Macaca mulatta: one gene and its partners. The protein of the gene in region 1 interacts with the protein of each later gene in a pairwise test. Links are inferred from orthologs where the notes say so. Each region holds a gene or a part of one and is shown in the gene's direction. Other genes may lie near its edges.

Region 1 (9,639 bases):
AGCTCTATGTTGAGAATAGACTGCAGGGCTGGAGGTACAGGGGGAAGACCAGTCAAGAGGCTATTGCTGATAGAGATGATGGTAGCTTGGATCACAGTGACGGAGATGATGAGAAGTGGTCAAATTCTGGATATATTTTTTTTAAGTAGGGACAGCGAGATTTACCGATATGGGGTATAAGAGAAAGAAGAGTCAAAAATTGCTCCAAGATGCCTGACCTGAGCAGCTGGAAGAATAAAGTTACTGTTGACAGAGATAGGAGTGGGTTTAGGGGAAAGACTGGGAGTTCACTTTTCAGCCTGTAAATTTTGAGATGCCTGTTATACATGTAAGAGGAGATGGCCAGGAGACAGTTCATGCCTCCTGGAGGATACTAGCCAATACATTTCCCATACAGACTCTACCCCTTTCTATACAGTACCCCTCATCTCTCTTGATCACTCCCAGAGACTTGGTCTGAATATAGTGGAGAAGGTGCAGAGAACAAGCCTAGAGGTTTGAGAGCCAGGTGTAGGGACTGTCAGCAGCTCAGGATCTGGGGCTCCTGAAGCCAACTAAGCCTCCGTAAGTATGTCTTAGGCACTAGAGGCAAACCCGGTCTGGAGGACTCTGAGGATGAGGTAAGCAGTGCCTTTGGGGAGGGGTGAGCAGGCTGGAGCAGAATCCACTCTGCATGGAGCTGAGAAGCAATGGGGACTCTGAATTTACTTGATCCTCAGGTCCTGAGAATGTCACCCAGCTGGATACCGGGAGTGAGAGGAGGAGGCGGACTTGCAAAGGAGGCTCTAGAATTTAGAATCTAGATCTCTCAGAAAGCTCAGAAACCTGGATGGGGAAACTGAAGATCCTTGCCCTGTGGTAGAGTAAGGGGTGGAATAAAAGGTAGCAGTGGAGGGCACAGTCATAACCTGAGTCCTGGGCAGCTGACTACTGTGACACTGCATAAGAGGCCCGGGTTTCTGAAGCCAGACGGACCTGTGTTTAAATCCTTGCTCTTCCACTTATTAGTTATGTGAGCCTGGGCGCCTCTTTGTAACTTCCATTCTTCACCAGTGAAATGGGAATGATAACACCAAGGGTTTCTTGAATATTGAATTGGTTACCAGGTGTGGAAGCACTTTGTGAACCATAAAATGCTGCAAGTTTATAAGGTGCTGCAAGTGTTTTTTATTACTGCTTTGCTCCCAGGGATGAACCTGGCCTCTGCAGAGGTGGACAAGCGTGTTTTGAAGTTTGGTGTACACCCAAGGAGAAGCACTACACTACAGAAGCCCCAGCCTGAGCCAGCTTCCTGCTCCCACTGCTTCAGGCTGGTTCACCTCTGCTACATTTCCCCTGACTTAGCTCTGCTACGTTTCTGCAGGTCCCGACACAGCTGCAGCGGCTGCTGCTGCCACCACTGCCGCCCAGTGGCTATTTCAGGAAAAGACCTCTCCCAACCCTCCCCAACCAGCACCCCTGATTGGCTTTTACTATCCTCACCCGGGGCCAAGAGGAATGGAATGCAGCGGATCAGCCTCACTCTCTTCTGTGAAACTCTTCTTTACTTTGGTTTCTGTGACTTTGCTTTACTCCGGTTCTCCTCTTCCTCTGGATGTTCCTTCTGGCCCCTTCCCTGGCTCTTTTTTGCCCTACTTTCCCCACATGTGAGCCTTACCCCAAAGATTCCTCTCCTCTCCTCTCCTCTATCTCCCTCTCCACCATCTCTCTCCCCCCTACCCCCACCCTCTCTTCCCCTTCTCTCTTGGAACATCTACTCTCATGATTTCAACTATGACTCAGAGGTTATCAAAAATTGGTAATGGCCAAGAGACTCCAGCATACAGATCTCTCTCTAATCAAAATGCATCTCTCCTTCTCTCACACTTTTATCACATTTCATTTCTACAGAGATGGCATATACCACAGGCAGCCTAGAATTATACTCATTTGTGGTTTTGGCCATCTCCTCCTGATCCTCCCACCCCCATACCAGAACCAGAGCTCCTTGAGAACATGTACCTCATTGTACCTCTGTCTTTCCCATAGCCTTCCAGGTGAAGTTATTATAACATATGTTCTAGATATTTTATTTCCAATTATATTCTCTGCTGTCCCCATAAAAATGCCTTCCAACTCAGAGTTAAGAAAACAAGTACCTTGCACATAGTAAGTGTTCAATAAATAGTTGTTGAATGTTGAATGAATGAATAACTTAATTATAATTTGTTGAATTGAATGGTTCCCACATCTATAATCTAAGCCCTATATATATTGTTTGCTACAGGACACACACACTTGGGTATCTCATTGACGTCTGGAATTTAGTATGCAGAAAAAGTTTACTATTTTTCTCATGACAGAGATAAATAAGATGTACAAATACCATTATTGCTGACACCCTTCCATTGCCCTACTCCTCCAGTTTGTTCCAGTCCTCTCCCTCTTGGCCCTTCACATCTACTATTCATAATTGTCTTGATGACAGTTTCTTTGCAAGATTTTCTGTTTCCTTGGAGCTTTAAGAAGGAAACGGAGAAGAGGCATGATTTCTAATATCTTTCTCTGAGTTAAGAGGAAAGGAAGGAAGGAAGGAAGGAAGGGAGAGAAGGAGGGAAGGAGGGAGGGAGGGAGGAGGGAAAGGAGGGATAAAGGTAGGAAGGAAGGGAGAGGGAAGAAAATGAGGGAGGGAAGGTAAGTGATATAGTGGAAAAAATGCAGGCTTGGAGTCAGACAGACCTAGGGTTGAACTCTGGCTCCATTGCCTGGCAGCTGTGACTATGGATAAGTCTTTCTGAACCTCCATTTCCTCATATGTAGAATGAGGATGCTAGCACCTAGCTTGTTGTGAGAAGACAATGAAGCAATGCATGTAAGGAACCCAGCAGAGTGCCCTCATTGTCGTTATTGAGAATTAAAGTATAGGTGTATTTGGAAGGTGTGAGGTCCACTCCAATTGGCTGAATTTTCTTTCTTTTTTTTTTTTTTTTTTTTTTTGAGACTGAGTCTGGCTCTGTCGCCCAGGCTGGAGTGCAGTGGCCGGATCTCAGCTCACTGCAAGCTCCGCCTCCCGGGTTTACGCCATTCTCCTGCCTCAGCCTCCCGAGTAGCTGGGACCACAGGCGCCCGCCACTTCGCCCGGCTAGTTTTTTTGTATTTTTTAGTAGAGATGGGGTTTCACCGTGTTAGCCAGGATGGTCTCGATCTCCTGACCTCGTGATCCGCCCGTCTCGGCCTCCCAAAGTGCTGGGATTACAGGCTTGAGCCACCGCACCCGGCCCTGAATTTTCTTTATGAAGTGAACAAATGGAATTACTTGCTGAGAGTAAGTGGAACAAGACAGTCACTCAACCTTGACGGAAAGGAGTAGTGATCTGAAGCCCTGGATGTCTAAACTTACTAATGAAATCATGGGGAAATGACTGGCTCCACATAGTTGTACCCAAGTTAGCTTTGTTCATATGTATTATCTGTAGTGTGCCCTTTTTGTCTTTCTACACACCCAACTTTATCTCCAGCAAGGCTGTTAACAACCTTAGAGTGGAGACCAGGACTAGTTTGTTCAGCGCCTAGGACAGCACAGGAAATCTGTTTCTGCGATTTAATCCATCTATCTCCGTTCCATCCTCCCCCACTGAGCTAATGCCTCATCCACATCCCACTTGAATCTTTTGCTATGTTTTCAGTTGCAATAACAGAAAATCCCAACTTAGATGACTGTTTTTAAAAAAGGAAATATATTATCTTGCATATAAGTTCAGTAGTGGGTGGCTTTGGAGCTGATTAATTCAGCAGTTCAACAATGTCATTAAAAAATCCTGATTCTTTCCATCTCTCCGATTTGAAACCTTGGCATGTTATTTAGCAACTTTCATGGTCACAGGGTGGCTATTGTCGGTCAGGCATTGTTTCCAGACATGGCGATATTCAATGGTAAAAGAGGAAGGCCTCTTCCTGTATGCTTATTTTTATCATTCAAGAAACCTTTCCCAGAATCTCTCCAGCATACCTCCTCTCACATCACAGTGGCCTGAATTTCACCATGCCTATAACTAAGCTGATCACTGGCAAGGGGGATAAAACGACCATGAGTGGCATAGAGGAGCACAGACCCATGCGGAGGAGGGTGAAATACCTTAAAAATGGGGATTCTTCCCACAAGGAGGAAGAGGGAGATGACTATTGAGTTGGTAAGCAATTCTGTCTGCTACAACCTTTTACTGAATAACCCACTCCTTCCTCATGCAGAGATCTGATCATCATTTTCTAACTGGAAGGTCTGGTTGGAGATATCATCCAGGTGTACAGAATGAGGGTGGGTAAGGACCTAAAAATATTTCCCCCACCAATGTATTATAGGGGCCAGAAACTCCATTAGATATGCATTCCTTTGCTTTCTTACTGTTGCATCCTCGTAAAATGCAAGTATTCCAGGTCAAAGTGAAACTTGTGACTGTTCTCTTCGGGAAGCTACTAACTGGAAAGAGGCACAAAGAAATTTTCTGGGGGAATGGAAATGTTCTATATCTTAACCTGGGTGGTGGTTATATGTGCGTTTACACAGGTGTATTAGTTTCCTATGGCTGCTGTAACAAATTACCACAGACTTGGTGACTTGAAACAATACACGGTTCTTCTCTTACAGTTCTGGAGGTCAGAAGTCTAAAATCAGTTTCAGTGGGCCAAAATCAAGGTTTCAGCAGGGCCATGCCTGAGCAGGAACAGCCATCTTGTGGCCGTGAGAGACTTTAGGGGAGAATCGATTTCTTTGTCTTTTCCAGCTTCTAGAGTTGTATTGCTTGCATTCCTTGGCTCATGGCCCCTTCCTCCGTCTTCAAAGCCAGCAGCCTAGCATCTTACTTCAGGCCTCATATTGCCTCCTATTTCAGAGTCAAAAGTCTCTCTGCCCCTCTCTCATAAAGAGACTAGTGATTACATTAGGGCCCACCTGGATAATCTAGAATAATCTCCCCATTTCGAGCTCCTTAATTTATTCACATCTGCAAAGTCTCTTTTTCATATAAGGTAACATTCATCGGTTCCTGGGATTAAGACCTGACATCTTTGGGGGGCATAATTAAGCTTGCCACAGTAGGTAAAAATTCATTGAGCTGCAGTTAAGATTTGTGAATTTTACCTCAGTCAAGAAATGCACAAACTTCTGGAAAAGAGTAATGATTTACATTCCATCATAATAATGAATTAAAGACCTAGCAGATCTACTCTCTTCCTACTGAGAGGTCCATGGATCTGAGTAGAAAGAGAAGAAAAGTGGGATTGAGTACCTAAAAGGGAGGTAGGAGCCTCAAGTGTGGGTCTAAAGACAAAAATAGGCTGACCACTAGTCATTCTAGAGATTCTGGGAAAGGTTTCCTGAATGATAAAAATAAGCATACAAGAAGAGAGGCCTTCCTCTCCTGCCATTGAATATTGCCATGTCTGGCATGAAAAGTAGATTCATTCTGACTTTTCACCTTCCTCGCAGACACCAACCTTGGCATGTATACAAGTCTTTCCTGTATGTCCAGCATCAGTTCCTATCCCACTGTGGTACCTGCAGAATCTGGGCTTCTCACACTATCTGAAAGTCCCTGAGAAGGAGAGAGTTATAGTAACTAAACAACCAGGCCCTGAGATGCATATTGGCTAGGAATGGCAGGGGCTGACACCGTGAACTGTGCAAAGAGAATATGGGACAGCTGTCCAGGGCCCTCAGTGAGGGGCAGGAGTTAGGGAAGGCCCTGCCCAGCCCTCTGAGTCATAGCCATAGCCATCCTCTGAGGAATGGACACCGCATTGTGGAGGTTGGGGTTAAGGGCTATGTCTATAGATAAGTACTAATGTCTAGACTGCTGTAAGGGGAGGTGAAGGAGGTCAGAGTCCTGAAACCCCAGAGCTTGTAGGTTCTGTCTCTACATTTTCTATGCCCGTGAAGCCTGAGCCTAGGCCCTGTGGGAAGGACAGTCAAGAAAGGAAGATTACTTTGTTGTTGCTGTTGTGGGGGTCCTGGCAGCTGCAGAGACAGAAATATCTCTAATTCCATGAGCGGTCATACGAGGCAAGAGAAGCTGCTTACAGCATGGACTTAGTTTCAGGGATTGGACAGAGTCAAGAGCTGGGGTGAGGAGGTTTACCCTAGGTAGGGGTGATAAGATGTCAGCCGCCTATTCCCTCGACATGCATGTCCTGCCAGAAGAACCTGTCCCCGGGCTGGGAATCTTATATTACCTTCCTCTCCAACGAGAAGAGAAGTTCAAGGCTCACAGACATGTGCACACACAGCTCAATGCACTCAGCTCCCCCTCCACCACTCCTGCCCCCACTACCTACAGGAGATTGACTCCTGCTGTGCACATAAGCTGGGATAATCGGGGTTTCTAAACATCAGCTTCAAGAGTCCAATGTCCCAAGTGGTGGGCGGCTTGGGGACGAGGTACTCTTTCCCATACCCTTGGCTTTTGTGTGGCCTGGAGCTGCTGATATAAAGATTGGAGTGTGACACAAGGTATTCCTTTCAAAAACACAAAGGCCTATACTTTGAGCCCTCCCATTTCAATCCCCCACCATGCTTCACCTTTAAGACCTCCAACTCCACTTTGATCCCAGTTCTCAGGTTCAAGGCCTCACAAGGCCAAAATCCTGAAGTTACCCTTCTCAAACTCCCCTGCCTTTAACATCATCAGAATCAACCTCCTACCCCCACTCTGTCCCAGCAGCAATAGCCTGCTAATCTTTTAGCCACTAATCTTTTAGGCACTAATCTGCTTTCCAAACTCTTGGCACCTGAACTATTTATAGCAGTGTTTCATGCCCCCCCCCAAGAACCCTATTCTTTTCTGATGACCCCCACCAATCAAAACACTCAGAGGACTGTGGGTATAAGAGGCTGGGGAGGCAGGCATAGCAACCAGAGCTGGAGACTGATGTGAACTTCATCTCTCTCCCCAGGTAATATTCCAGAGCCCTCGACTTCTAGCCCATACTAAACCCTATATCCCTTGCTCTTAGCATCCCCCTTAATATATCAGGCAGCAGTTGAGGGACACCCTTCCTGACATAGCCTATAGACATTCAGGCCTAGAGACCCTCCAAAGACCTCTGGAAGCTCCCCTAAGCTCACCCCCTGGGCCAGGCTCAGTAAGCATCAAAGAGAAGCCCTAGAGAGACATCTCCCTCTCTCTAAGGATTCCCACCCAAAGGCCTAGCCCCTGGGGACCTGGACGGGGATAAGAATGGGAAAATCTAGGGAAGGCAATGAGAGGGATGAGTTGGTTCAAGGAGGACTTTCAACCTCCAAAGAGACTTCTGTCACCAAAAACTGAGAGTATGAAGGCACCAACCCCTTCTCTCTCACACTTTTCTCCATTCTTTGTTGACAGTCAAGGCCATCATGAGGTGAACTCAGGCTCAGGATCCATTGCAGTAGCAGAAGGAGACAGAATCCATTCATTTGTTCATTCATTCATTCATTCATTCATTCATGTATCCCACAAACATGTCTTGGCACCTAGTGTGTGCCAGGGGATGTCTAGCCTCATACAGACCAAGAAACACATTTTTCTCAAACTTTTCTGGATGGAAACCTCTGTCCAGCCTCTTTCCAGAGAAGTTCCTTCTCTCTGAGGGCTCTCAAGAGTCCCCCAGCCATTCTAGGAAGTTTGGCCCTTTCTGGAGAATAGATAGTATGGTTAGTCAATGATTTGTACAAAATAGGAAAGTTTATTTTCCCCTCTTGCCCAAGATGGGCAAGAATACGGCTGAAGAAGTACCCTTGGCAGAAGGGAGAATAGGAGGTACTTGATGTGGGTGAGGTGTCTGTCTAAGGAAGAAAGGTTACATCACACTAGGTGTATATGGATGGTATGCTGGAGTGGGGTGAGAAGAATGGAAATGAAATGATTGAGCCTTTCTTCTTTCCCTTTTCGCAGAAAAGGCTCAACATCAACTATATAGCCAACATGTCCAAGTAAGAACTCCTTCTAATCTTTTGAATCTGTGAATTGCTCCCTACCCCAATCCAAGTATTTCCCTTTGGGGTAGGGGGATTTCCAATCTCTCCCTAACTTGTGTCCTTGGATTCTATCCCGATTATCTCTACCTTTGCCCCATCCTATGCTCCTGGAGCCTCTTCTCCTAATCCTAAGAATATTTCTTTTCTCCCCACTTCCCTTATTTCCTCTTCCCTGCACTTCCAATCCCCCTCTCCATCCTCTTTCTGGTTTTCTCCCCATAGGGTGTTTAAGAAGACCAGCTCCAATGGGAAGGTGAGAGAACCTGGCCCAGCTGGGCAAATGAGAGGGCAAAAGGGATAGGTGGGTACATCCTTCAAGGTCTCAGGGATCTGGGTTGGGGGCTTCAGGGGAATCCATTCCAAAATGATTGTGAGAATAACATGCAAAGTTGTTCCACAACAGCTCTCCATCTACCTGGGGAAACGGGACTTCGTGGACCATGTGGACATGGTGGAACCCATTGGTCAGTGAGTCCAAAAAGGGGAAGCCTGGGGAAAGAGGAATGGAAACTAGGGAGTAAAAGAAAGTCCAGGAGAGACTGTGCAGAAAAGGAGGCAAATTAAAGGGAAGAATGGGAAGAACCATTTCAGGGATCATCTTCTATTTCATAGTCTTGAGAGCTTTTCCTGACCAAAGTGCTGTCTGTCCTTCTCTCCACAGATGGTGTAGTCCTGGTTGATCCTGAGTACTTAAAAGGTCGAAAGTGTAAGTGGAAATCCTTGTCGGTCTTTGTGTGTTTCAGACAGGTAACTCGATGAGTGGATTGCACCAGAGTATAAGAAAACCAGAAAGTGGCAGGAACTGCGAATGCCTTCTCTGGTGGAGGCTGACAACTGGGAATTCCAGCCCAGTGTGGCCAAATTTTATAATTGTTAACGAGGAACTGTAAATGAAGCTCAAAATAAGACTTTTAGAGGCCCAAAGTGTGAAAAGATTATGGTGTCCCCTTACCCAAATCATATTCAAAGTAAATATCTAAAGCATAAATTAAATTTTATTTTTCAAAATTGCACAAAACTTACACTCGTGCTGAAATTAAAATAGCTTCTTTCAGAATTTCGGATTTTCTCTATTATTACTGGTGGTGGCCCTGCTTGGCTATTGATCTGAATCTTAGACTGCCTATAGAATGATCCAATAAGTCAGAAATCCATATTTTAATGCAGATTTCCTGATTTTCAAATGTTGGCAACTCACTAAAAGACTTTAGAAGCCTGGATAGATTATAAACTTTTTTTTTTCTGTTGGTTAGATGTGACCTTCAGGCTGCCATTTTGCAACCTCTGGTATACGTGTTTCCATCTCCTTTTTTGTGTAGTGAAACTGACCTTTTATTCAAGGAAAAATTCCCAAACAAAAACCAAAACAACAACCACAGGAAGTAACCGTAAGAAACATTACTTTGGCAGCACTACTACAGATCAAGATTATGCTGATTTTTGTTGTTGTCGTTGCTGCTTTTTTTCCTTTTAATTTCTCACTGTGGATTAACCCCACCGTGATCCAACTAGACTGAAAATTGGGGTTGATTTGAAAAAGGTGCTGAATGGGTTGATGAGTACTAGTTCGGATGTAACTGTTAGATATTGGAGAATAAAGTAGCCTAAATCTCTCAGATTAAGCAGTGTGAAGAAGCAATCAAGTCGGT
Region 2 (9,702 bases), on another chromosome or scaffold:
GAGGGAGACTTCATCTCAAAAAACAAAAACTAAACCGTATGTAAAACAAACATTGGTTTGGTCCAGAAAGGTGGGACAACTGGAGGTGAGGAGGCTTGGGAGCTTTCATATCACAGGTGGGAGACAAACAGTTGCATTCTTTTGAGTTTCTGATTAGTCTCTCCAGAGGAAGCAATCAGATATGCATTTATCTCAATGGAGGCAGGCAACTCCAGGCTCTCAACTTGAATTAACACTGACATTTTAAAATATCTAGCAAGGACAGGCTGGGCACGGTGGCTCAAGCCTGTAATCCCAGCACTTTGGGAGGCCAAGACGGGCAGATCATGAGGTCAGGAGATCGAGACCATCCTGGCTAACACGGTGAAACCCCGTCTCTACTAAAATACAAAAAAAATTAGCCGGGCGTGGTGGCGGGTGCCTGTGGCGTGAACCCGGGAGGCGGAGCTTGCAGTGAGCTGAGATCCGGCCACTGCACTCCAGCCTGGGTGACAGAGTGAGACTCCATCTCAAAAAAAAAAAAAAATATCTAGCAAGGACAAACATAAAATTTAGACAAAACCTATGCTGACAAATCTGAAGGCCTTTTAATTTTTATTCCCCCAATAATTTTAAAGCTGGCTAGTTTAGTAAAGTTATACTTAAGTGAACTTGAAAATTATTTAGACATATTTACTTAATTTATGAGTCCGCCTTTTTTTTTTTTTTTTTTTTTTTTTGAGACAGGAGTCTTGCTCTCACACCCAGGCTGGCGTGTAATGGCGCGACCTCAGCTCACTGCAACATCTGCCTCCTGAGTTCAAGTGATTCTCCTGCCTCAGCCTCCCGGGTAGTTGGGATTACAGGGGCCCACCACCATGCCTGGCTAATTTTTGTATTTTTAGTAGAGACAGGGTTTCGCCATGTTGATCAGGCTGGTCTGGAACTCCTGAGCTCATGAGCCTCCCGCCTCAGCCTCCCAAAGTGCTGGGATTACAGGTGTGAGCCACCACGTCTGGCCAAGCCCTCTTTTACTTATAAGTCAATTTGGTAGACACAACATATAACAGTAAGTGTATATATAAGTAAATACATCTAGACACGTATACACACACATAAACGAAGATATGGAACGTTAGCCATGAGATGGCAGTACAAGCTTGACGGTTTTACTTTGCCCTAATGGATAATCCAAGGGAAGGCTGTGAACCAAAATTTCAGGTAAAGCAGTCTTCATGGCAGTTTTATTTTTATTTAATTAATTAATTAATTAATTAATTAGAGTTTTATTATTTTTATTAATTTATTATTAAAATTTATTAATTTTGTATTTTTAGTAGAGACAGGGTTTCTCTATGTTGGTCAGGCTGGTCTTGAACTCCTGACCTCAGGTGATCTGCCCGCCCCAACCTCCCAGTGTTGGGATTACAGGTGTGAGCCACTGTGCCTGGCCAAAGCAGTTTGATTTTATTTTTATTATTATTATTATTTTTTGAGACAGAGTCTTGCTGTGTCACCCAAGCTGGAGGGCAGTGGCATGATCTCGGCTCACTGCAACCTCTACCACCCAGGTTCAAGCGATTCTCCTGACTCAGTCTCCCGAGTAGCTGGGATTACAGGCACGTGCCATCATGCCAGGCTAATTTTTGTATTTTTAGTAGAGACAGGGTTTCAGCATCTTGGCCAGTCTGGTCTTGAACTCCTGACCTCATGATCCACCCTTCTTGGCCTCCCAAAGTGCTGGACAGTTTGATTTTTAAAGGCTAAACCTCCCCAGGCTCCAAGGAGCACTGGGGCCAAACAGTACCAAAGGAGAGCATCACCCGTTAACGAGGCCACCTGCTTAGAACAGTAGCACAAAAGCCTGGATGCATGCAACACCATCCCACTTTCCCATTAGACAATAAACTTTAGATTCTAAACGATTCGGGGGCCAAGCAGCATAGCAACTGTGAGAGAAAATTCTAAGGAGGGTTTAACACTAGACCTCAAAACCCCTGCCAAGGGCATCCCCTTTGGCAGTTTGAGGTCCCACGGAGCAGGACCAACAGAGTGTCCTCCTGGGGGGTCCAATGTTAGAGTTCTAGGTGTCTCTGGTGTTACTTAGGTGGGCACTGGTGCCACTTTGCATGCGTTCCCTCCAGAGCCTGCTATGAACTTTATAAGAATAGCCATGAAGTGTAGTAAGAGCTGGATGCGGGTGGGCCTTTTTGTTCCTTAGCCAGTAGAGTATGTAAGGGAAGAATTTATCATAAGAAAAGAAGGTTTAAATCCCCTGAAACAGGTGTGAGTTTGCTCCGACCTGCATTGCAGGTAGGAATCAGGTACCAAGTGTGGAAATAATTAAAAAAAAAAAAAAAAAAAGTCCTTACCCCTTCAAGGGCAGGGCGATTATTCCCATTTGTTCCTAGGCCTTCAGGCAATACCGGAGAGTGACCCCAGCCAATTGCCCTCAATTTCCAAGGTGCTACTAGAAAATAGCTGCTGTAAGACTGAAAAAGAGAGGAAAAAAAATGAAAAAGACCCAGATTCCTTAAGCGAACCGGGCAGTGGCAGTTAGGCTTCTCCACATGGAAACCCCTAGTTTCACTGGCCATGGCCAGAAACCTGCAGTTGCAGGCCAGGCGTGGTGGCTCACACCTGTCATCCCAGCACTTTGGGAGGCTGAGGCGGGCGGATCACCAGGTTAGCAGTTCGAGACTGTCCTGACCATCATGGTGAAACCCCATCTCTACTAAAAATACAAAAATTAGCCAGGCGTGATGGCATGCACCTGTAGTCCCAGCTACTCAGGATGCTGAGGCAGGAGAATCGCTGGAATCCGGGAGGCAGAGGTTGCAGTGAGCCGAGATTGTGCCACAGCACTCCAGCCTGGTGACAGGGCGAGACTCCATCTCAAAAAAAAAAAAAACAAAAAAACCTACAGTTGCTTCCATGTTTAGGCGCTGCCCACCAAGGGTCCCAAGTTGGAAATGAAGGAGGAGAGAGAGAGAGAGAGAGAAAGAAAGAAAGTGTGAGAGCGCCCCTGTAATTGAGCAGAAAGGAAAGGGAGAAAAATGAATCCCAAACTTTTGGGCTTACCTCTTTCCCCTGGCTGGCTCGCCAGAATATGTTAATGATGGAGGGTGTCCAGGTTCTTGGCATCTTGAACAAACAATTGGACAAAATGCACAAACAAAGCAAGAAAAGAATGAAGGATTTCATTGAAAATGAAAGTACACTCAACAGCAAGCGATCATGAGCATAGGGGCTCGAAGGCCGTGTTACAGAGTTTTTGTGAGTGTAAATACCCTCCTCAGGCCGGGCGCGGTGGCTCAAGCCTGTAATCCCAGCACTTTGGGAGGCCGAGACGGGCGGATCACGAGGTCAGGAGATCGAGACCATCCTGGCTAACACCGTGAAACCCCGTCTCTACTAAAAATACAAAAAACTAGCTGGGCGAGGTGGCGGGCGCCTGTAGTCCCAGCTACTCCGGAGGCTGAGGCAGGAGAATGGCCTAAACCCGGGAGGCGGAGCTTGCAGTGAGCTGAGATCAGGCCACTGCACTCCAGCCCGGGCTACAGAGCAAGACTCCGTCTCACAAAAAAAAAAAAAAAAAAAAATACCCTCCTCTTGGGGTATGCCCTATGTAAATGAAGAGGATGAAGTAAAGTTACAATTATAAAGTTATTAATGGTGGGTGTACACCTATGGAGAGGATATTTCCCATTATAACTGAAGTGTGAATTGGCCTTATGTTCCCTGCCTCCAGACGCTATTTTCCTGCCTCATGTGAAAGCAGAGGGTTTTTTGTTGTTGTTGTTGTTGAGACGGAGTCTTGCTCTGTCGCCCAGGCTGGAGTGCTGTGCCTGGATCTCAGCTCACTGCAAGCTCCGCCTCCCGGGTTTACGCCATTCTCCTGCCTCAGCCTCCCAAGTAGCTGGGACTACAGGCGCCCGCCACCTCGTCCGGCTAGTTTTTTGTATTTTTTTAGTAGAGACGGGGTTTCACTGTGTTCGCCAGGATGGTCTCGATCTCCTGACCTCGTGATCCGCCCGTCTCGGCCTCCCAAAGTGCTGGGATTACAGGCTTGAGCCACCGCACCCGGCCTTTTTTTTTTTTTTTTTTTTTTTTTGAGAGGGAGTCTTGCTCTGTCACCAGGCTGGAGTACAGTGGTGCCCTCGGCTCACTGCAACCTCTGCCTTCCCGGGTTCAAGCGATTCTCCTGGCTCAGCCTCCTGAGTAGCTGGGACTACAGGCGCGTGCCACCATGGCCCGGCTAATTTTTTTGTATTTTTAGCAGAGACGGGGTTTCATCGTGTTAGCCAGGACGGTCTCGAACTGCTGACCTCAGGTGATCCACCCACCTTGGCCTCCCAAAGCGCTGGATTACAGGGGTGAGCCACCGCGCCCGGCCAGCAGAGGGTCTTTAGAAGGGTTCTCAGTGATCCAGAAATTGGAAGCAAGGCCCAACTTACACCTTAGGAAGCTCAGGGAAAAGCCTGATGGTCACCTACAAAACAGAGGCACATTGGCCTCAAGGCGGGGAGCATTCTTCCAGCCCCGGCTCCGCCCCGGGCTTGGGTGGACAGACCAGCTTTACCTCCAGAGACTCCCCCTGTCTTCCCTGCATCGGCTGGCTAGCCCCACACACTTTGGCTGCACATTCTTTGTTTAGATCTGCTGATGCCTTCCTTCGCTGGGAACGGTCCAGTCCTGCCCGCCTGGCGCTCAGCTCTGTGGATCTGAGGTTTTACTTCCTCTCTTTCCAACTTGGGAGGGGGGGATGGAGTGGCAATCTCATTGCTCCCTCCTCTCCTGGCCCCTCTCGCCTTCTCCTGGAGACCCAGGTTAAGTGGGCAGAGGATTCCGAGGGTCCTCTCCTGCCGTGGGATTGCACAGAGGGCTGGGTCCGCAGGCTGGCTAAAAGGACCTAGCCCAGGATTGCAAGGCAGCGCCCTCCCCGCAGCTGTACAGCCTCAGGCGTCCGGCGCAAAGCCCAGCAGGGGCGTGTCCGCGCGCTTACCTGCCATTGGCCGGGTGGGGCGGTCGGCTGCCTGAAGTGCCTGTGCTATAAGTGCGGAGCGAGTGACTGCGAAGTCAGGCGCGGCGCAGGATGGTGGACAGCGTGTACCGGACCCGCTCCCTGGGGGTGGCAGCCGAAGGGCTCCCGGACCAGTACGCGGACGGGGAGGCGGCGCGCGTGTGGCAGCTGTACATTGGGAACACCCGCAGCCGCACCGCCGAGTACAAGGCATGGCTGCTCGGGCTGCTGCGACAGCACGGCTGCCAGCGGGTGCTCGACGTGGCTTGTGGCACCGGGTAAGCCCAGGAGGGGGCCGGGGGCGTTGCATGAGATCGGAGTCCGGCTCAGCCTGTACCTCGCGGCCGCAGAACCACAGGACCGGCACGTCGGGGCGGCCTTTGCCAGTCTGGAATGGGTGGGACACCAGGGCCAGGAGCAGGTACCTGCCCGGCAGAACAGGCACTGCGAGTGCCCCCTGAGGCCAAGGGTTGGGGCAGGGGTGCTCAGGGAGAGGCCACTGAGAAGGGAGACTGAGTGTGAGTGAGGGTGTGGGCAGAAAAGTGAGCGTCCTTAAGGCTGTGGAGCCAGGGCCACGGACAGACTCCAAATATTCCTCCTGTGACGGCCTTGGGCAGTGTTAACAGTTAACATTGCTCAACATTTGCATCTGTCAAGCCAGTGCCAGGAGCTTTTGATACATCAGTTTTTCAAACCCTCACAAAGCCCCATGAGGTTAAGCAGTGATACTCTCTCATTTACTACTGGGGAAGTAAGGGCTCAGCAAAGTAAAAGTCCCTCATACAACATCCACTGAAGAGGAGCTAACAGGCCCGGGTTGGTTAAGGTCTGTCCTGTGCTCTAAACCACCATGTTCTGCTGCCTCTTGTGCACACCTATTTTAACTTAGAGGAGCCTCAGCTTGTCTGTCTCTCAAATGGGAATAACACTATTTACCTCTCAGGATTGCCATGAGAATTACTGCATATTTGTAGAGTGCCTAGCTCTGAAGAGGCGCCTTAAACAAAAAAAAGTTGCCTCGTGGTGATAGGAAATAGATTTGTGAGGTCAGTGGAGAGGGCCTGGGGAGAGGAGGCAGAGGAATGGACTCTGAGAAGTGGAGACAAAAGTGTCTGGCACAGGGTCTCCTGGCCCTCCCAGGCTCCCCTGACTGCCCCTCTCTGTCTCTCTCCACTGGCCCTGCCCAGGGTGGACTCCATTATGCTGGTGGAAGAGGGCTTCAGCGTGACAAGTGTGGATGCCAGTGACAAGATGCTGAAGTATGCGCTTAAGGAGCGCTGGAACCGGCGGCACGAGCCCGCCTTCGACAAGTGGGGTATGCAGGTCTAGCCAGGCCCCGCCAGCCCAGTCACCAGGAACACTGTTCATTCTGCCTGGGGCTCCTTTAAGTGGGGGTGGGGGTGGAGTGTTGTGTTTTCCTCGGGGAGACAGCAAAATTTCCTCGGGGAGACAGCAAAATTACTGTAATTTCTTTGAAAAGCAAGGCTTAAGCTCCAGAATGAGACACTGGGTGTGAAGAGCTGGTTTTAACTGTGTTTATGGCATCTTGTCCCTCCCCTCAAAGAAAAGCCCATAAGCACAGAGCCCTCCTTCTGAACCAGGGTTCCTCCCCCTAACCGAACAGGGAGTTTTTGTGTCTTAAGAAGAATCCTAGGCAGGACTGCACTTGGTGGAGGTGGCTGCTACTGGTACCATGGTGCCTCCCTGATTCCTCTTTCCCTTCCTGGCCCCCAGTCATTGAAGAAGCCAACTGGATGACTCTGGACAAAGATGTGCCCCAGTCAGCAGAGGGTGGCTTTGATGCTGTCATCTGCCTTGGAAACAGTTTCGCTCACTTGCCAGACTGCAAAGGTGAGAGAGGGTGTGGCCTTGGGCATGGCCCCCGCCTTGAGCTGTACCCCCTTCCACAGACCTCTGGGCACCTGCTCTGCAAAGCAGACTCTCTGCCTCTCTCTGATTTGGCTCTGGTACCCCTGGGGAGGGGAGAGATGGGAGGGAGACTGGTGCTGGGGGCCCTGAGCAGATGGAGCCTTTCTGCCCCTGCCTGGCGCTCAGGGGACCAGAGTGAGCACCGGCTGGCGCTGAAAAACATTGCAAGCATGGTGCGAGCAGGGGGCCTGCTGGTCATTGATCACCGCAACTACGACCACATCCTCAGCACAGGCTGTGCACCCCCAGGGAAGAATATCTACTATAAGGTGGGGCCCTCTGGGATTGGGGGTGGGGGTGGGGTGGAGGGAGGGTCCAGTGGCCCCAAGGTAGGTTACAGAGGCTAACGCAGCCTGCCCCACCACCTACAGAGTGACTTGACCAAGGACATCACAACATCAGTGCTGATAGTGAACAACAAGGCCCACATGGTGACCCTGGACTATACAGTGCAGGTGCCGGGGGCTGGCCAGGATGGCTCTCCTGGCTTGAGGTACCACTTGGCTCAGTGGGGGTGAGGCAGTAGTTGGGGAAGCTGAGGTCACCAGTCCTCATGGTTGCTGGGGGCTCTGTTACAGTAAGTTCCGGCTCTCCTACTACCCACACTGTCTGGCATCCTTCACGGAGTTGCTCCAAGCAGCCTTCGGGGGCAAGTGCCAGCACAGCGTCCTGGGCGACTTCAAGCCTTACAAGCCAGGCCAAGCCTATGTTCCCTGCTACTTCATCCACGTGCTCAAGAGGACAGACTGAGTGTGGCCTCAGCTCCCACAAGCCTCCACCCAGGCACTGCTAGGCTCTGTCTTGAAGATCGGGACCAGCAGCCCCACACCAGGGCCAGCCTCTAGAGCAGACTACAGCTGGGGTGCAGGGATGTGGGTTCTGCAGATGGAAGGGTAAACAATATAGTCTGTGCCTTTTTCAGTACCTGCATGCCTTGTGTTTATGTCAGAAGGATCAGACTCCCACGATGCCCAGCCCCCCGCCCGCCCCCAGGGCTTACTCCTCCCATAACCCTGCTCTTTCCCACTCCAACCTTTCATGCCACAACACCAGTAGGGTGAGGGACACGTTTTATTTTCAGCCACAGAACTAGCCCTCTTAGGGCCCAATCCCCAGAACCCAAGGACCTGGCCCTCCTCCTGAGCAGATGGGCCTTCCTCTTAAAGCCAGCCTGGAAGGAGGGGCAAGTAGGCAGGAGATATCTCTTGAGCTCTTGCTGCTGTCCCAATGCCACTTTGCACCCCGGGATCTCCTGGAGGGAGGTGGCCTCCAGGTGGGTTGGCAGCAGCCTGAGGAGGAGCCCTTCCCTCCCAGATCTCTCTGTGGGCTATCGAGGTACCTGCAGCCATGCTGAGTGGGGTCCCAGGCCCTGGGGGGCTCCTAGCAGGCAGCAAACTTGTGCTGGATGCGCTTGTACCGGAGCAGCTCCTGTTCACTGACTGATGGTTGCAGCCGGGCGGCAGCCTGCAGCAGGTCCTCCATGGTGAGCATCAGTGCTGAGCTCCCTGGCTCCAGCCCTGGAGATGACAAGGTGGGAGGTGAGGCCAGATTCCCCATCCCGGCTAGGGAACAGACGCTGTGGTCTATGCCCAGGCAGGGGAGAGCCCTGGGATGGTGCCTTCCTGCTCAGGGTCTCCTAGATGTCAGTGATCTTCCCTCTGAAATCCAGGACTAGGTTTGTCTCCCACTCGTCTTCTTTTCCTTAAACATTTTTTTTTTTTTTTTTTTTTTGAGATGAGGTCTCTGTGTTGTCCAGGCTGGCCTCAAACTCCTGGGCTCAAGCAATCCTCCTACCTCAGCTTCTCAAGTAGCTGGGACTCAAGTGCACCCAGCTCCCCAATGGCTTTCTGGTTGACCTCTCAGGCCGGCAAGTGGCTCACCTTCCTCCAGGTCATGAACCCTGCGTTTGAGGGCAGCTGTCATGGCATCAGAGCAGAGAGAGTAGAGGTCCGCACCTGTCAGCTGGGGAGGGCAGCAATCTAGCACGTTTACCAGGCTCACAGATGGCTCTAGCTTGAATCTGTTGTGGGATACGGGAAGAAACAGAGTTGGCATCACCTCCTCCCTCAAAAGCCAGTGCTGACCAGCTCATTCTGCATGTTGCATGCATCCCTTAAGCATCCCAAGGCGCAAGCCCTTGGCAGTCTTCTTTTAACAGGGCATACTTGCGTGTGATGGCACTCAGAACACGTAGCTGGGAGGCCCGGTCCTCGTTTGCCCCCACAAACACCAGCTTGTCAAATCTTTAGGGAGATAGGCAGGTATAAGTTTCAGGGAGCCCAGCCATGAGGGGTGGAGGCACAGAATGAAGGTGGAGGTAAGCAGTACAAGGGGACCACCTGCCAGGCCGCAGAAGGGCAGGGTCCAGGAGATCTGGTCTGTTGGTGGCTCCGATCACAAACACATCCTGAGTGCTGTGCAGCCCATCCAGCTCGGCAAGGAGCTGAGACACCACCCTGGAGTGAAGGGAGCAAGGGCAAGAGTCCTTGGTGTCCCCCTTAGACTCTGCCCCTGCCTGTGGTACCTCTCCTTACAGGCAGTCTCATCAGGGCCCTCCACTCAGCTGTGCCCAGTGTGCCCCTCCAGGTAGGCCCCCATTCTCCTCAGTGGCCCCTGCCCAATTTCATGGCCCCTTTCAGCTTCCATTATATTACCTCAGAACTGAAACAGCAGGAACGTCTATCTCTGGACTCTTGAAGACTGCTGTGAGCTTTCTCATATCCTTCCCACCCTGGACCCCCCAGCCTCCATTCCCACTCAGACCAACACCT
Region 3 (9,770 bases), on another chromosome or scaffold:
ACTGGGCTTTAGGTTACACATCACATTTCCCTGTGCACACTTCACTTTCCAGGTGATACATAATTCACATTTTCCTCTGCTATTGCCCATTCACCTTTCCACACTGCAAGATGGCTGTCTCACACCCTCTTCCCCCTGCTCTCACATTTCACCCCCTCTTTCTCCCTGTCACTTAAGGGCCCTGTGAAGCAGTCAGGGTTCTCCAGAGAAACAGAACAAACAGCATGTGGAGTCGGGGGAGGGAAGGGGGTGGGGGTTAGAGATCAAAAGTGAGAGAGAGATGAGAGAGAGAGAGTTTTCTTTTAAGGAGCTGATTGGCTTGCAAGTCCAAAAGCTGCAGGGCAGGCTGCAGATCCAGAAAGAGCCGAGGCTGTAGCAAGTCAGAAGGCACGCCGCAGGGGGAATTCCTTCCTCGGGAGACTGCAGTCTTTGCTCTTAGTCTTTGCTCTTACCGCCTTTGACAGATCGGACGAAGCCCGCCCACGCTATTGAGGGTAACCCGCTGCATTCCAAGTCTACAGATTTAATATTAATCACATCTAAAAAACAGCCTCACAGAAACAGCCAGACTGGTGTTTGAACAAAAACTGAGTACCACAGCTAGCCAAGTTGGCTCATAAAATAAAACGTCACACTCGCTCCTTATTTTACTGGAGTGTTGGCAAAGTTGGAAGAAGCCTGCCCCAGGCTCTCCCTGCCCAGCTCCTGTGGACCTGCCCCGGGTCCAGACGCAGCCTTCCCTGCCTTCTGGCTCCCCACGGGCCCTGGGCGCCAGCCCTCCCTCCTCCAGGCGATGCACTGCAATTTCTCCCATCTTTAAGATGAGACCATTTTTCTCCACGGGGCTGTGTCCACTCTGTCACCTCCCTTCTCCTCCAGAAAGTACTCTAGCCCAGGAACTCCACTGTCTGCTCTGCTCAGGGGCCTCTCTACCAGATTCAATGGGCAGTGTCCTTTGCTCATAGATTCGATCTTGGGGCTGGATTTATCCCCCGACCTCTTTCTCTCCTTGAAACATAGGTGCTCACTTGGATTCCAGGGCTCCAAACCTGCAATTTTCCTTCTCTCTCAAGGCGGTAGCAGCTCTCCCTACCCCCTTCTCTTGCCCTCGTCCTCCCCCTCACTTTCCTCCTCCTACTTCCCCTTCTCTCCCTTCTCCTCCACTAACCCCTTGGGCTCCCAGGGTCCGGGGCTGGCATTTCACAGGGTCTGCCCTCCCTGGGGCTGCTTCTCAAAACACACTCAACCCTCTTGTCCCAACTCCTGCTACACACTGTGACTCCAGATTTCCACCTCCAGCCACAGCTTTCTGTCCCAGAGGGTCATCCCCACTTGTCTCCCGGGCATCTGAAAACCAGCAAGTCCCAAATCCACCAACTCAACCCCAAACCCAGCCCCTTCCTGGAAACCTGCTTCCTTGCATCTGCCATCTCTAGAGGGCCCGTTCAGTCACCCAGTTTCAGCCCCAGTCACAGCCGTTCCTCACTCCTCTAACACGGGCAGCATGCCTTCAACACAGAGCCTGGACTGGGCTACTGCTCACCAGCTGTGCCCCCACCAGCCAACTCCAGGAACCGAGCATCTCCTGCCTGGATCTCTACAGCGATTCCTAACAGGGACTCTGCTTCATCTGTTCTGCACAGTGATCTTGCTAAAATCAAGATTCCGATAGGCCACACTCCTACTTGAAACCCTCTAATGACTATAAAATCCGGTGACCTGGTTCCAGCCTCACCATTCTCACTGTTCCTCTGCCCAGCTGAGCAAGCACACGCTGTTTCCTTTGCTGGAATACTCTTCCCACACTCCTCTGCTCAGGGGCCCCCCCACCTGCTCTCCACTCAAATGTCACCTCCTGACAGAGGCCCTACCTGAACATCCCCAGCACACGCTTCCCCACCATGTTCTATTTCTTTCATGACACCTATCACCAATGGCGTTATATTGCAGAATCGCTGATTTATTATTTGATTCCCCTCCCAGCTCCTTGGATCATTCTTCTATGGTCTCCCCATGGATGGAATCATTGGCACATAGCAAACATTTCATAAAAACAGATATGATTGGCAATATCATATTCATACAAACCGAATACATGCACACACTGGGCATGACGATGGCGCGGTCCTTGAGCACGATTTACGTGCAGGGTCCTCTTCCCGATGCTTCACCCGTGGCATCTGATACAACCCCACCTCGTCCACTGCGTCCAGAGGCAAACACCTTCCCCACGGGCTCCTGTGCCCCCACCCAGCTCTACACCATCCCTCTCCTCTCATTCACCCGCCACCTTGCTTTGCACCACTCCCCCTTAGGGCCTTTGCTGTCAAGGTGGTCTCCATGTGGGAAAAAGGGACTCTGATCAACTCCTTCATCTCAAATACCACCTTCACAGTAAGGCCTGCCTGCCTGCCCTCCTCTTTAATACCATGACTGTTACCAGCCCCTCCCCAGCACTCCTGACTTCCTGATGCCTCTCCCTTTCCTTTTCTCTCCACTTTCCTTTTTTTCTGTAGCACAGATCAAAGAGAGCAGGTCATGTTACTGATTTTGCTTCCTCCAATAGCCAGTTGTGTTCACAGATTACCTGAGCACCTGGAAGGCTGCCTGGCACTCATAAATGCACAGGAGGTACTCGGTATAGGTTTGCTGAATGACAGAAGCTTCAATCCCACACAACCATCAAATGAGGTACACAGCATCATCCCTGTTTTCTGGATGAGGAAACTGAGGCACAGAAAGGTTATGTAGGCCTGAGGTCACCTGGCTAGGAATTGATGGGGCAGGATTTAACCCAGGTGCCTGACTCCAGAACTTTGACTCTTAAGCCCCGTTTTGAGCTAAATGCAGAAGCAGCATAAACAGCCCACTTTGTGCCTCAAAAGGTGAACAGTGAGAGGCACAACTGGGCAGGGACGTGTCAGGTCAGGGGAAGAAACTGAATTGGGTAGTGGGGATTAACTGGATACTGTCTGCCAGCAATTTCTGCCTCCTGCATTTTACCTGCTTTAGGGTTGCAAGGGGCAGAGCTATGAACACAGATGCCCACTCAACAGCCAGTTCCTGGGCCAGTCACAGGGTTGGGAGCTGTGGCACCAGGGCTCTGGAACCCCACAGACTAGGATGTTTGCCAAAGCACCTAAGCCCTACCAGCCTTCCCACTTCCTCTCCTCCATGTCACAGTTCCTGGCTGGTGTTCCTGAGAGCAGGCTGTACATGAGTCCTGTAAATGTCAGTCCAGTTAAGTCAAAGGGGGTGGCTCCTCCTTGCACCTGTAGGCTCCAGCTAAAATCTGTGTGGCCCTGCCGGGCATCTGGCTGTCATCTGGGAAACAATCACTGTTCACAAACAAGGGCTTCACTCCTTCGCTTGGTCCATCTCCTGCTAAAGTCAGAATGTGAACATTGACAAACAGCGGCTCCCAGTAACTCTGCTACTCAGAAGTGATTATTCCAGCAGTTCAGAGGAGGAAGTGGTGGTGCCCAGGGCCACGGGATTAGAAGAGTAACAGAGCTAAAGGATCCTGTGCCTCAGTCCAACCACCTTGTCCCCACTTACTCAGCCGGGCCACTTTCTCTGGGGAAACCGATTTCCTTCTGCTTGCCCTTGAAAGGGGATCCTAAGGAAATCGGAGCAACGGGCAGTAGCTACCCTCTGGAAGATGGAGAACCTTCTCCCCTTCTGCGTGGGAGAATCCAATTTCGGTGCAGAGCAGATGGAGAAGGGGCCATGGGAATCAGGCCTGCCCAGGGACCGGGTTCACACTTTCTCTCAAGCTCTGGAGCCTGAAAAATGACCACTCCCCGGGGACGACCCATGTCAGAATTTGGGCTATATTCAGCACAGTGTAGCAGCCAGCAGCCCTGTCTCAGGGTGGGGTCCGGAGGCCCTCATTCCTGCTTGCCCCTCACTGCCACATGACCTTGGGTCAGAGTCCCTCATCCTCTCCCTCCGCCACTGCGCACAGCGGTAACCGTGTTCACTTCTGCGAGCCCCGTGACCCCCACTCAGGGCCAGGACTCACGGCAGACCCCCTGCGCATCCCTCAGGGTCGTCCCGAGGCTCGGAGTGGCCTCCGGCTGCGCGGCCTTTCCTAACGCGGGGACTCCGCACGTGGGCGCCAGGCCCGGAAGGCGCGGGTGCGAGCGCTACCTTTGGCGTCCCGCAGCGACGGGAGGGGCTGGGCGGCCCGGAATTCGGCTGGCTGGGGCTCGCAGGGGGCGTCTGAAATGAGGCGGCCGACGGCGCGCGGGGCCTCCTCCCTCCGCTCCATCCCGCACCCCCAATTCCAGCTTCCATCCCAGCCGCGCCTCCCGGTCGGCCGTTCCGGGCGTCCACCGGCCCGCGTGTCCTGGGGGCGCCGGAGAAGGAGAACAGCGGAGAAAAGAGCCCCGGGCTGACTTTCCGGACCGGCGGGCCCGCGGGGAGGACCGGGCGCGGCGACGTGGCTGACCCACAAAGCCCCCGGCCCGGCGGCCAGGCCCAGGCGCGCGCGGAGCTGGGCGGGCCGGGGGTGTCGGATGTCACCCCCAGCGCACACCTCGGCCGGGGGGCGGGGGAGCGAACCACTGAGATGCGGAGACCTCCCCGGTCCTAGAGCGGAGCAGGAAGTGTCCCAGGGGAGGGAGCCGGAGGGCTCCGGCCTTTCCTTTCCTCGGCGTCCGGCGGGCTCCGGCAGTGGCCAGGCCTGCGCCGCCCGCCAACAGGGACGAGTCGCGGCGGTGAGTGCACCCCGGCTCCCGCGGCCGGCCCCGCCCCGCCCTCCTCGGCCCGCGCCCGGCCTCCGCGGCGCCGCCTCCCGGCCCAGAGCCCAGCGCTCAGGAAGGTGCGGGCGGGGGAGAAAGCAACACCATTGTTTTTCAGGCGCCTCCATTTGCCCCCGAGCCGAGCCGTGGCGTTCCGGATGGTCGGGAGACGCGGTCTGGACGGGCCGGGAAAGGAGCCGGGCGCCTGCGGAGACGCCGCCTCAGCGAGTACGCCCGGCCGGGCGGGCCGGGAGGATGAGGACGGCTGCCCTGGACTTCCGCCGCCACAGGAGGGCTTTCGGCCGGACGCCGGGAGGGAGCTCCGGGCTGTGAGGTGAGGAGCCCCGGAGCCGGCGAGACGGGAGACGCGCGTGTGAGGGAGACCGAGGGCGCGGAGGGCGCGCTCCCCCTTCCCTGGCCCGCAGCGACCTTCTCCTTCCCCTTCTGCCGATCCGGCTCGGTCCCTCCTCCGCGAACGGCTGGGAGCTCGCTCCGCCCCTGCGGGGCCCTCCTCCGCCTCACTCACGTTAGTTCATTCATCAGGCGTCTCCTCCGAGCCTCCGACGCGCCAGGTGCCGCCGTGACAAAGACGGACGCGGCCGTCTGGTTGGAGACGATCCGAGTGGCAGCCCGGGTGGGCGCCGGTGCTCCGGGGGGGCGGACCTGAGTAGTCCTGGGCGCTGCAGGTGTGTGATGGGCGCCGCAGGGGGCCGCCGAGCAGGGCGGGCGGGGCCCACCCCGGGCTCCAGATGCCGGAGCCGCCTTGGAAGGGAATCCGGTGGTGGGGAGCCCTGTAATGCGTCCAGCCCGACGCCTCCACGGCCCCCATATGCGTTTCTGTATGTGTTGTTACTTTGGAAAGCAAGGAGATTCAGAGCAGTGGGTGTTTCTGGAACCACTGAGTTGTTTCGTAGCTTTTCTGGCATCACTTGTCTTCCTGTGAAATGGGAGTGAGGCCCGAGTCCCCCTTGTGAGCTGTTGGAGGATAAGGCGCGGCCACGCTGGACAACCTCCTGCAGATGGAGGAGTGGCAGGCACTGCCGGTCCTAAGGATCACAGAGGCCTGATGGCAGAGAAGGGCACCGTGAGTGTCCCCATGTGCCCTTTCACGGGTCAGTGTTCTAGGGTGCGAGTCATGAACACCAGCCAGGTATACTGGTTGCTGGTCTCTTTTGCCACCCTGTATGTGTCGGCTAGTTGTCTGCACACCAGCGGGGAGGTGGAGGGACCCCTGAGGCCCACCTTGAGGGTGTGGCAGCTGCAGTGTCCAGGGGTTCTTTGAGGGCTGAGCTGTGCCGTGACGGACCCACTCTCCTGTCCTGGCCGAGGAACGGCTTTCGCGGGTGTGCCGTTGCCTTGAATGTGGTTTGAAGAGGTCAAGGATAGACAAGAGGGTGGAGGCGAGGTTGAACGTCAGGCAAGTGTTGGCAGAAGGTTCATAGGAAACCACTGATATTTCTAAATGCAGTGTTATTTGTCCCCCGTGGACTGCATGTGGCTGTCTCATGTGATGTTCCCTGTGTCTGGGTATTTTCCCTGCCTCCCGTTGCAGACTCTGTTGGGCAAAGCTGATTCTGGCTGGGTTGTCCATCCAGCACTGAGCACCATCAGCCCTCTGCCACCAGCAGGATGGATTTTCCATTCCTGGATGTGCTGGAAGGCTCATCCGATGCATGTCTGTCTTTGTCTTTCCAGCTCTATTTGTAAAGGTCTTGAGAACAAGAACAGTGACTTCGGCTGCGGAGCTTCAATATAGTGGCCTGCTTGGCCTGCCCATCTCGGGTCTCCCGGAGGACCCAGCCACTTAAGGTACCAGAGAGTCTTGATTACATCTGCATGTGGCGCTGTTGGTTTCCTGGGATGCTCAAAACACCAGTGTCACGTTGAAATGCCACCACTTTCTCCCAGATTTCCTGCCTTGTTCATCCAGTCACCCGCTTACGGGAATCCACACGTAATGGTACTGATGGGGGGAGGGTATCTTTCTGTCTGTTTCATTCTGTGTGTAAAGACCAGCCACACCGACACTCCCTACCTTTCCCAGGGCTTCTCCAAAGGGCTGGTCTCTGAGGGCATTGACAGTTTCCTTGTCACTGTCCCCCAGAAATGACCACAGGAGACCAGAACACTGAAGCCAGTGATTTCTGTTTGGAAATAGGGTCGTCTTCTGCTGCTGACCCCCATCAAATCCCATCATGCCCACAGCCCTGTGCCCCCGAGTCTTGGCTCCGAAGGAAAGTGAGGAGCCCAGGAAAATGAGGAGCCCACCTGGAGAGAACCCTAGCCCCCAAGGGGAGCTTCCCAGTCCCGAGTCTTCTCGGCGCCTCTTCCGCCGTTTCCGCTACCAGGAGGCGGCGGGCCCCCGGGAGGCCCTGCAACGCCTCTGGGACCTGTGCCGGGGCTGGCTGCGGCCTGAGAGGCACACCAAGGAGCAGATTCTGGAGCTGCTGGTGCTAGAGCAGTTCCTGGCCATCCTGCCCCGGGAGATCCAGAGCTGGGTGCGGGCGCAGGAGCCTGAGAGTGGAGAGCAGGCTGTGGCCGCGGTGGAGGCACTGGAACGGGAGCCTGGGAGACCCTGGCAGTGGGTGAGTAGAAGGGGTGGGGCTGGGACGGGTAGAGATCTGGTGCTTAGACACTTTGACTGGGCCATGTATGCACTGGCCAGGGAATGAGGAATTCCACTGAGAGCCGTGTACTTTGGTTAGGACCAGACTAGAGTTTCCTAAGAAAGCCAGTTTTACTCCCTGAAGCCTCTAATTTGGGCATGATGGTGTCATGCCCCTTTACGGCCCAGTCCAAGGCCTAAGTGGAGCCTTTGGTGGGCAGCTGTGGAGTGGATGGTCACCAGGCCCAGGGAGAGATGGGACCTCTTCGCCTAGCTCTGAAAAGCTTTCTCTGGGATTGCAGCTCAAGCACTGTGAAGACCCTGTGGTGATTGATGATGGGGACAGCCCTCTGGACCAGGAGCAGGAGCAGCTGCCGGTAGAGCCCCACAGCGACCTTGCAAAGAGCCAGGATGCCCAGCCCATAGCCCTGGCACAGTGCCTGGGGCTCCCAAGCAGAGCACCAAGCCAGCTCAGCGGGGATCCAGGTATGCAGCCCGGGGAGTAGCAGGGGTGATCTGGGGGAGTGCACACCACACACTATACACTGGGGTGGTTTTTAAGCTGATGGCTTTTGCATCAGCAGTTTTCTCCTGTTCCCTGAGGGGCTGTGAGCTGTTATCAGGGTCTGAGTCCCTTCCTGGAGCAATTAAACGAGAATCTCATCAGGATGTTTGTTCTCTTCATGGTTCTAGATCCTCTCAGAGCTAACTCTTCTGTAAGTGGGTGTCACTGAGGTGGTGCCCTCTCATCTCTTTGAGGATGCATCTTTGCAGGATTTGTCAGTTTGATGACAGCTAGGACCTGCTGCATGAATGGAGCATGGCCATCTCTTGTCTCTTGGAACCTCTGTTTCTTTGGCTAAACAATTCCTATTTACAGGAGCATTGTGATTCTGCAAAGAGATATAAAAATACTTTGGAGAACAGAGGATGGTATCTAGTGTGTGGGACCAGAACATCAGCTAGACATGGTTTGAGTATGTGTATGAAGTACATGGTTGCTACAGAAAAGTAGTTTTGTCATCAGATAAACTTAGATTTGAATCTTCTGGGTATGACATGAGGCATGCTTCTAAACTCCGAAAGCCTCAGTTTCTTCCTCTGTCCAACAGAGATAGTAATTACCTTTTTTGGGGTTTTTGGACGATTAAATGAGATACAACCTATAAAAGGCTGAGCACAAAGCCAGAGATGCCCAAAACTTTTTTTTTTTTTTTTTTTTTTTTTTTTTTTTGAGACGGAGTCTCGCTCTGTCACCCAGGCTGGAGTGCAGTGGCGCAATCTCGGCTCACTGCAACCACCACCTTCCAGGTTCAAGCAGTTCTCTCGCCTTAGCCTCCCAATTAGCTGGGTTATAGGCGCTTGCCACCACGCCTGGCTGATTTTTATATTTTTAGTAGAGACGGGGTTTCGCCATGTTGGCCAGGCTGGTCTCGAACTCCTGACCTCAGGTGATCTGCCTGCCTCGGCCTCCCAAAGTGCTGGGATTACAGGCGTGAGCCACCGCGCCTGGCCGCCCAAAACTTTTAAGTACATATCATGGGAAACCAGTACTCTTGGGTTGAAGGAAGTCTGGCACGTGGGTTCCTCTGGGTGGACTTTCCACAGTGCTCTGTAGGTACAGTGGAAAGAGAGTGTCTAGGGGGCCAGGGGGGCTTTCTTAGGACTCTGGGTGGACTTGCCACAGTGCTGTATAGGTACAATGGAAAGAAAGTGTCTGGGGGGCCAGGGGGCGTTCTTATGATTTGCAGAAGTTGTGTTGGCCTTATGATAAGCTTTTCAGTAATAAAACCAAAATGCCTATTAAATATCTCTGTGTGGAAAAACTATAGTGACTCCTGTACAAATCATACAAACTCTTCAGCCTTTTCTTGCTCGTAAGTCAAGATTGGTGTGTCGTTTGCTGCCATAACAAAGTACCAGAGTGGGTGGCTTATGTAACAGAAATGTATTCTCTCACAGTTCAGGAGGCTGGTGTGTTGTTTGCTGCCATAACAAAGTACCACAGAGTGGATGGCTTATGTAACAGAAATATATTCTCTTACAGTTTAGGAGGCTGGAAGTCTGAAGTCAAAGTATCAGCAGCCTTGGGTTCTTCTGAAGCCTCTCTCCTTGGCTCTAGACGTGCCTAATGTTAACACTAAGAGAAGTTTGCAGATAGGCATTTAGAAGGAGCTAGGGGCTGAGCGCAGTGGCTCACGCCTGTAATCCCAACACTTTGGGAGGCTGAGGCGGGCGGATCACCTGAGGTCAAGAGTTTGAGACCAGCCTGGCCAAGATGGTGAAACCCCATCTCTACTAAAAATACAAAATTAGCTGTGTGTGGTGGTGGGTGCCTGTAATTCCAGCTTTTCGGGAGACTGAGGCAGGAGAATCACTTGAACCTAGGAGGCGGAGATTGCAGTGAGCTGAGATTACAC

What was found.
Region 2: the proteins of ARR3 (region 1) and GNMT interact in a two-hybrid assay, tested with the Homo sapiens proteins (2 studies listed by BioGRID and IntAct). The two-hybrid records come from large-scale screens. The link is inferred for Macaca mulatta from reciprocal best matches to the Homo sapiens genes ARR3 and GNMT.
Region 3: the proteins of ARR3 (region 1) and ZNF496 interact in binary tests that used the Homo sapiens proteins (3 or more experiments, as listed by UniProt). The two-hybrid records come from large-scale screens. The link is inferred for Macaca mulatta from reciprocal best matches to the Homo sapiens genes ARR3 and ZNF496.

What each region holds. Positions count from the first base shown.
Region 1 is NC_133426.1:76,782,354-76,791,992, forward strand, and holds the start of ARR3 (arrestin-C), read left to right. Parts: upstream 1-3,992; 5' UTR 3,993-4,121; coding exon 4,122-4,169; intron 4,170-7,907; coding exon 7,908-7,945; intron 7,946-8,212; coding exon 8,213-8,243; exon of another isoform or gene 8,244-8,291; intron 8,292-8,393; coding exon 8,394-8,454; intron 8,455-8,651; coding exon 8,652-8,696; intron 8,697-9,639. UniProt on the Homo sapiens protein: May play a role in an as yet undefined retina-specific signal transduction. Could bind to photoactivated-phosphorylated red/green opsins.
Region 2 is NC_133409.1:139,166,942-139,176,643, reverse strand, and holds GNMT (glycine N-methyltransferase), read left to right. Parts: upstream 1-5,067; 5' UTR 5,068-5,074; coding exon 5,075-5,280; exon of another isoform or gene 5,281-5,356; intron 5,357-6,189; coding exon 6,190-6,317; intron 6,318-6,523; exon of another isoform or gene 6,524-6,736; coding exon 6,737-6,853; exon of another isoform or gene 6,854-7,057; coding exon 7,058-7,200; exon of another isoform or gene 7,201-7,302; coding exon 7,303-7,424; exon of another isoform or gene 7,425-7,509; coding exon 7,510-7,681; 3' UTR 7,682-7,830; downstream 7,831-9,702. Other genes in the region: PEX6 (peroxisome biogenesis factor 6), read right to left, coding at 8,312-8,448, 8,812-8,951, 9,097-9,174, 9,271-9,387, 9,701-9,702. UniProt on the Homo sapiens protein: Catalyzes the methylation of glycine by using S-adenosylmethionine (AdoMet) to form N-methylglycine (sarcosine) with the concomitant production of S-adenosylhomocysteine (AdoHcy), a reaction regulated by the binding of 5-methyltetrahydrofolate.
Region 3 is NC_133406.1:1,704,056-1,713,825, forward strand, and holds the start of ZNF496 (zinc finger protein 496), read left to right. Parts: upstream 1-4,643; 5' UTR 4,644-4,721; intron 4,722-4,863; 5' UTR 4,864-5,079; intron 5,080-6,440; 5' UTR 6,441-6,554; intron 6,555-6,903; 5' UTR 6,904-6,940; coding exon 6,941-7,330; intron 7,331-7,652; coding exon 7,653-7,836; intron 7,837-9,770. UniProt on the Homo sapiens protein: DNA-binding transcription factor that can both act as an activator and a repressor.